Callithrix jacchus: one gene and its partner. The protein of the gene in region 1 interacts with the protein of each later gene in a pairwise test. Links are inferred from orthologs where the notes say so. Each region holds a gene or a part of one and is shown on either strand. Other genes may lie near its edges. The genes, in order: XPO7 and USO1.

Region 1 (3,826 bases):
ACACTAGGCAAAACCAACCTGCATGATCCCTTCCAGGTACCTGGAGTTGATAGTTTAATGATAGTTTGTGGATAAATAATGATATTTCACTGCCCCTCACTTTTTTTTTTTTTTTTTTTTTTAAGATGGAGCCTCACTCTGTCGCCCAGGCTGGAGTGCAGTGGTGCAATTTTGGCTCACTGCAACTTCTGTCTCCTGGGTTCCAGCAATTCTCTCGCCTCAGCCTCCTGAATAGCTGACGTTACAGGCCCGTGCCACCATGCTCAGCTAATTTTTTATATTTTTAGTAGAGATGAGGCTTCACTGTGTTAGGATAGTCTTGATCTGCTGACCTCGTGATCCACCCATCTTGGCCTCCCAAAATACTGGGATTACACACCTGGCTATGTCACTGCTTCTTTAGAGAACAGTGTGGACAAAGGTAAGATTGGCTAAAATCTCAATAGTTAGTGATCCCATTTCCTTACCTATTTTTATCTAGTATGTATTTCTGTAAGTTATTTCAAGTTTTATTTTCATTGCATACAAATAAAATAAGGGCAAGCATATAGTTGATCTCTCTGTGGCCAGTTATTTCCTTCTGTCTTACATTTACGTTCCTGTTTTGTAAACAAGAGCACAGGCCTTTAGAAAGCCGGCTGCTGCTAACTCTTGCTCTATTTATTGCAGTGGGTGAGCAAAGTAATTTTCACAGAAAAGAGGATAGTGCTCATGAGATAGGCACAGGGGTTGCTGTGACAGAATAATAATCCAGAACCTGATTTTTTTTTTTTTCAGATTTTCTATATCCAGGGATTGATTACTTGGCAAACTCAAACTCCACTGCAACTTGAAGAAACAAACTTCATCTCAGCAGCAGGAACCTGATGAGATGTTAGGTTAATCATGTGTGGCCTCCCCTGTCTTGCAGAGGTCCTTCCTCTGTCGGACACTCCATCACTGCCTCCTAAGCCTCCACTTTCTTACCTGCTGGATCATCTCTGGATGCTGCTGCATGATGTGCAGAAAGCGGTCGCTCTCCTGGTTCAGGGGTGTGGTCCTCTTCTTGGTGCTACGTGACAGCTGCTTGAAGAGGTATGTCACTATGTGGTCCAGGCAGGAGCAGCAGCCTGTGCATACCATGGTGTCTGCAAGAAAGAAAGGTAGGAGTAGGACAGCTGCTGCAGATGACCTGGGCAAATATGGACTATCTTTGGCTGAGATCCACTAGGGTCCAGTGGCCAATTCAGCCAAGGCCATTGGTCAAGACTCCTTGTTAACCTCTTACCCTCATTGTATAGCTGGGCTCAATTTCCAAGTTTGAAAGTGAGTATTGGTAATATATATAAATAAAGAATACCGAAATTACTGTCTCAATGTGTTGCTGATGTACATCTTCTGCTGCACACAAAATGACAAACAGTTTAGTTCAGCAAGTGCTTCTGTGGTGCCAGATATTGTTCTAAGTACTTTATAGGTGTTGTTATCTAATTTAGCCTCTCAAGAACTCCACGAAGTAGGTTTTGTTTTACACACGAGGAAACCAGAATTTGGAAAGGTTATGCATTGGCCTAAGGATCAACTGCTAGTAACTGCAAAAGCTGTGACTGGAATCCAAGAAGCCTGGGGTAGGAGCCTATGCTCTGAGTTACCTGCAGGATGTCATGAAACCAAGATTGATGTAGCCTATGAATGTTTATGGTTTGTTAGAGTGGGCTGTGCTGTATTATGTGTTTATCTCCCGCACATCTCTGGAGGGAGCTGCAGACTCATCTATGCATCTTTACAAAGGGAACAGTACAGCACAACCTGTGAACAGAACTCTGATGAGGTGAGCCCAAAGAACTAAGGGATGAACGCTTAAACGAGTAAGCAATTCTGATTCCTACGGGACTGATGGTTTATGCAAAGGTCCCTCTATTTTCAATAAGGCAACAGTCTTCCAAAGCAAGGACTGATACCTTGACTGGACTGTACTACATATGGCTGTGCACCCTGATGGAATAGTGGAAATGGAAGTGAGTGTGTATCAAAGTGGCACAGAGGCATGGATAATTCACCACAGTTGATAATCCACAAGTCAGTCTATGTGTATTTGCAATATATCATCACTATTTGGCAGCTGACTTAATCCTCCTACTTAGGTTTTGCTCAGCCTAATATAAAAATCTGTTTTATTCTCCGAACACATATACCTATTACAAAACACATTTACCTATTACATACACCTATTACCTATAAACAAATTGGTTGACAGGAACCAGATGGACTAGGAAGAAAAAACTTATGGCGCTAGCTGTGTGAAACCTTTCCCCAGCTTCCACGGCCCTCAGGACAGAGTTCAAATAGCCTAATACGGCTTATGGGCCCCCTTCATGATCTCCAGATTTGCTCCTGCTCATCTCTAAAGCTTCTCCCTTTCTGTTAAGTGGTTAAAAAAAACAAAACAAAACAAAAAAAACCCACCAACTTACCCACCCCACCCACGTGCTTACCAAGAGCAGTAAGTCCTTCAGAAATGGAAGAGAGAATATACATGATGACATGAGGTTCCAGGCTTGCAATAAAGTTCATATGGTCCTGGGTCAGGACTTCCAGTAGTGAATAGTAAGACTGGCTGAGCTTGGGGTAATCCTGTGGGAGAGAGGAGGAAAAAAATCAGCTTAGGCACTATGCACTCCAGCATGCAGGGAGACGATCTTAAATAGATCCTCTTTTCAGTTGGGAAAACAAAAGACTTAGTTATAGCAGAAAAGAGCTAGCTTATATAGTTTTTCAAGAGCAATGTTCCATCATGGTCTCAGGTGAAAAAGGCTAAATGTGATGAGGAACAAGATTCTGGCAATGCAGCGTAAGGCTTACCAAGAGATCACTGTGGGGAATAGAGAGGAGCAGCTTGATGAAGGTCTGCAAAGCATTGTCCAGGGCATCGTCTCCATAGAGACGAAAGACTCCGAAATTGACGTAACTCCCACTGAGAGCAGCCTTCAGCATGGAGAAGCAGATGGAGATGCCCTTGAGCTTCAGAGCATAGACCTGATCCTTTGGGACCTCTCCTAGTGTCAGGATTCGATTGCCTGAGTAGACATGTCATATATGTTTATTCAACTACATTAGAAGTGCTCATTTATATCAGCCTTCCTACTCCAAAGGCATACTACATTCCAGCAGGCCCCTGGTGACAGGTGGCACTCTAATGCACCTGTATTAGCATATGACAGGAATGCCGTCCTGGCTCTTGCCAGGGCTGGCCGGAGAGACACATTCTGCTTACAGTGTGGTGACTGAGCTGGAATTAACTTCGAGAGGCATGATTCTCTGAAGCACTTACCATACATTGTTATCATCTTGCTGGTTTCTCGGAAGAGTAAGATGCCATTGGGGGAAGAGACATCAAACTGGAGTCGCTGGGATCTGAGCAGAGAGCACAGAAAGAGAAAAAGTCAAACTGTTTTTTTGGAAGACTAGGGTACTTGAGGCTCTCATACCTTGGGTGATCCTGCATTTACATTAAAATAAGTAGCTTGCCTATTCTAATATGAGAATAACCAAGTTATAGATATTTAACCAATAATGTCGCTTCTATCTTGAAGACCAACATGCTAGATTCAGATTCTGCTGCTCAAATTAAAAACATTTAAAAGAAAAAAAGGCAGCAGATAAAATTACTGTCTTAAAAATCTCAATTTTATTTGATTAAAGTATACTTTCTACCAGTCACCTCTTGGTACTAACTCAGAGCCCTTCAGCCATTAGTCTGCATGGACCTTTATGGCTTCAGTGGCATCTGAGGGAGGGGCAAAGGCTGTTACTATTTTATACGAAGAAAGGAAGCAAAGGGAATTGG
Region 2 (3,826 bases), on another chromosome or scaffold:
GGAGTGCAGTGGCACGATCACAGCTCACTGCAACCTCCACCTCCCGTGTTCAAGTGATTCTCTGCCTCAGCCTTCTCAGTATCTGGGACTACAGGTGTGCACCACCACACCCACATAATTTTTGTATTTTCAGTAGAGATAGGGTTTCACCATGTTGGCCAGGATGGTCTCGATCTCTTGACCTTATGATCTGCCCACCTTGGCCTCCCAAAGTGCTGGGATTACAGGCGTAAGCCACCACACCTGGCCACAAATGAAGTTTTTAAAATACTGTTTCAAATAATACTGAATATGTAAGATAAGCATGTATATGCATGTACTATAAAAGTAAAATTTGTTGAAAATATTTGTGTTTTATTTTATTTTATTTTATTTATTTTTGAGAAGAGTCTCGCTCTTGTCGCCCAGGCTGGAGTGCAATGGAGCGATCTTGGCTCACTGCAACCTCAGCCTCCTGAGTAGCTGGGACTACAGGCGCCCACCACCATGCCTAGCTAATTTTTGTACTTTTAGTAGAGATAGGGTTTCACCATGTTGGCCAGGCTGGTCTTGAACTCAACCCTCAGATGATACCCACCTTGGCCTCCCAAAGACGTGAGCCACTGCACCTGGCCTGTGTTTTCTTTTTTAAGATCAATATCTAATCACAATAACAAAACAAGCAGTACAAATTTCGCTAATACACAAGCCGCATGTAGGCTTTCCATAAGCTGTGGAACATAGGCACGTTAAACCCTGCCAGCATATTATTGTGTGACAGAGACATCAGAATAAATAGGAAGAAAGAAATGAGATTACATTAGTGAAAATAAGGAAAATAATGTATAATTGTGCTTTTTGTGGCCAAATTATTTTATTTTTAAACCATAGATTTTATTTGAAGCTATTTTCTTTTATTTTAATTGTATGCTTGAAGTTGGGATAAAAAATATTTTTTTAACTTGAGCTTTGAGTTCTAAAATTCTGGTGTTAATTAGACTTGTGCTGTAAAATGCTTTGTGTTTCTGTTTACTCCTTCGATTAACTGAAATTATAATGCTTTTTTTGTATCTCTAAAGGTTTTTTTGAGGAATAGCTAACTAAAACTATTTTTTGGATGTTAAACTTATTTTTTTGCAGTAACCGTTTTTGATGAACAGTCTAAAAAATTCTCATGTTACTCCTGTACCCTTAACCCCCACCCCTAAATTCTTTAGGTTGAGCAAGTACAGTGATTTGTCATAGAAAAAAACTATTTGTTAAAAACTCTAGTAAAGTGAGTGCTAATTTTAGATTCCTGCCTTTCACCTTTCTTTTCCTAGAATGAAATTAAAGCTCTGTCTGAGGAAAGAACTGCCATTAAAGAGCAGCTGGATTCATCTAATAGTACCATTGCCATTTTACAAACTGAGAAAGACAAACTAGAGTTGGAAATTACAGATTCTAAAAAAGAACAGGATGATCTCTTGGTGCTCTTGGCCGATCAAGACCAGAAAATACTGTCATTGAAGAATAAACTCAAGGATCTTGGTCATCCAGTAAGATTAAAATGTCTTCAAAAATGATTTGTATTATGTTTTAATGTAATGCATTTGAAAGATTTTTAATGTAACATGGAAAAGTTGTGCTATATTATAGGAATGGATATGTGGGTTCATGAATATGGTATCATCTACACTGTGTTCGCTGTGTTCATTGAATTTACTTAAGACACACATTAGCTTAAGTTTTCAGTACTTATAAACTATTTTCTTTTGGACCTTGAGCCTAGAAAGTGAATTTATTTGATTGTTCATGCAGTAACAAGACTGTTGTCACCCAAGTGTGTCATTATCTTTTGTCATGTTTGGTTCAGATTTGTGTGTAAAGTAGTATAGCCATTTATCAGAAAAGCTAACTGATAATATCTCATTCATATTAGAAATGACAGCCTTGGGCATTAGATCAAAGAAATCAGATGGTATATTCTACTGTAGTTACAAAATTTGTCCAGGTGCAGTACTCACACCTGTAATCCCAGCACTTTGGGAGGCTGAGACAGGCAGATTGCCTGAGATCAGGTGTTCGAGACCAGCCTGGCCAACATGGTGAAACCTTATCTCTACTAAAAATACAAAAATTAGCAGGGCTTGGTGGTGGGTACCTGTAATCCCAGCTACTCAGGAGGCTGAGGCAGGAGAATCCCTGGAACCTGGTAGGCAGAGGTTGCAGTGAGCTGAGATCATGCCATTGCACTCCAGCCTGGGCAACAAGATCAAGACTCTGTCTCAAAATAATAATAATAATAATATATATTGTTAAATGTTGAATGTGACATGAACAAATTTTCACAATATTAAATGAGTCTTTTTCCTCTAGGTTGAAGAAGAGGATGAACTTGAATCTGGAGACCAAGAGGATGAGGATGATGAAAGTGAAGATCCTGGCAAGGACCTAGATCGTATCTAGCTTTAAAATCTCTAGGAACAATAGAGATTATATCATAACTTTGAAGATGGAATCTAAACTTTGGTTTACCTCCACAGAAAATAAAAGATTTAGAAACCAAGTGGAAAACATTCACTATTAAGACTATTGATATATTTTTGTAATGTTGCCACCCATGTTGAAAACCTTAAAACTAAATTTATGTAGAACACACATCTTTTATTTAAATCTATCTTAACTGTCCCAATGTATAATTTTCAAAGAGCTTCAGACACCAAAAATATACCATTTTAAGACATGTGGTGGCAATGCTATTTGCCTTAGTTCATTGGTTGTTAACTTTTCAAAATTTGTGACTTTTAACTGCTAACACATTTGATTTAATATGTTGAATTGGAATTATTATTTCTAAATTCAGCATTTGAGTTTAGTTGATGATTTTCTTTTGAAGAAATTAGTTTATTTAAAAGCAAGATCGCCTGGCCTGGGGGTTAGTGCATATCAGCCCTCCATCTAATGTGATATCTAAGATGTGCAGTATAGAACAGTTTAGAATGAGTGCCTTGCCACCTACATATGGCTGCATTCCGTACCTCAGCGAAGAAGCCGAAGGATGCTGACACAGTGATGTGGAGGGCATTGCTGAGAAACTTTTGCAACAGTGTATTAATGTGATTGGTTTTCTTTTTGTTTTAAGCTAAACATCTAAAACAAATTTCAAGTTAACAGTTCATACAACTCAGATTTAGTATTATTGTTTATCATAAAACATATTATGTTCCTAGTTTTAAAAGTACCCAAACTATGATTTATATAATTTATTGGCATTTTTGCTGACTAGGTTTAAGTCAGATAATAGATTTTAAAAAAGCAAATGAAGCAGTGTGTCAAAATTTAATGTTTCATAATAAAAAATAGATACGTTCACTTACTTAATCCTTGGTCACAGTTCCCTTTTTTTACATCTTAAGAAAAGTATTTTCGTATATTTTTTTTAATACTTTAAGTTCTGGGGTACATGTGTAGAACGTGCAGGTTTGTTACATAGGTATACACATGCTTTGGTGGTTTGCTACATCCATTGCGCCATCATCTACATTAAGTATTTCTCCTAATGCTATCCCTCCCCTGTCCCCTCACCCCCGTAAAGTATTTTATTCTTAATAAAAGACGAGGTAAGTGAAAATGGTGAAGAGACTTCTCTTATTAGGGTATACAGCTATAACTGAATGTTAAAAACAATCTTTAAAACCAATGATTAGGATTCCCTAAATTTGGAGAGGGTTAGTTAGAGCAACTACAGAAGTAGAAGAGGTTAGAAAAGGGTTTGGATGTTTCTTTTTTTTTTTTTTTTTTTTGAGACGGAGTTTCGCTATTGTTACCCAGACTGGAGTGCAATGGCACGATCTCAGCTCACCAC

The links.
Region 2: the proteins of XPO7 (region 1) and USO1 interact in binary tests that used the Homo sapiens proteins (3 or more experiments, as listed by UniProt). The two-hybrid records come from large-scale screens. The link is inferred for Callithrix jacchus from reciprocal best matches to the Homo sapiens genes XPO7 and USO1.

Annotation. Positions count from the first base shown.
Region 1 is NC_133514.1:19,496,095-19,499,920, forward strand, and holds part of XPO7 (exportin-7), read right to left. Parts: intron 3,394-3,826; coding exon 3,311-3,393; intron 3,057-3,310; coding exon 2,842-3,056; intron 2,614-2,841; coding exon 2,475-2,613; intron 1,353-2,474; exon of another isoform or gene 1,128-1,352; coding exon 967-1,127; exon of another isoform or gene 778-966; intron 422-777; exon of another isoform or gene 288-421; intron 1-287.
Region 2 is NC_133504.1:122,331,736-122,335,561, reverse strand, and holds the end of USO1 (general vesicular transport factor p115), read left to right. Parts: intron 1-1,301; coding exon 1,302-1,517; intron 1,518-2,337; coding exon 2,338-2,427; 3' UTR 2,428-3,342; downstream 3,343-3,826. UniProt on the Homo sapiens protein: General vesicular transport factor required for intercisternal transport in the Golgi stack; it is required for transcytotic fusion and/or subsequent binding of the vesicles to the target membrane.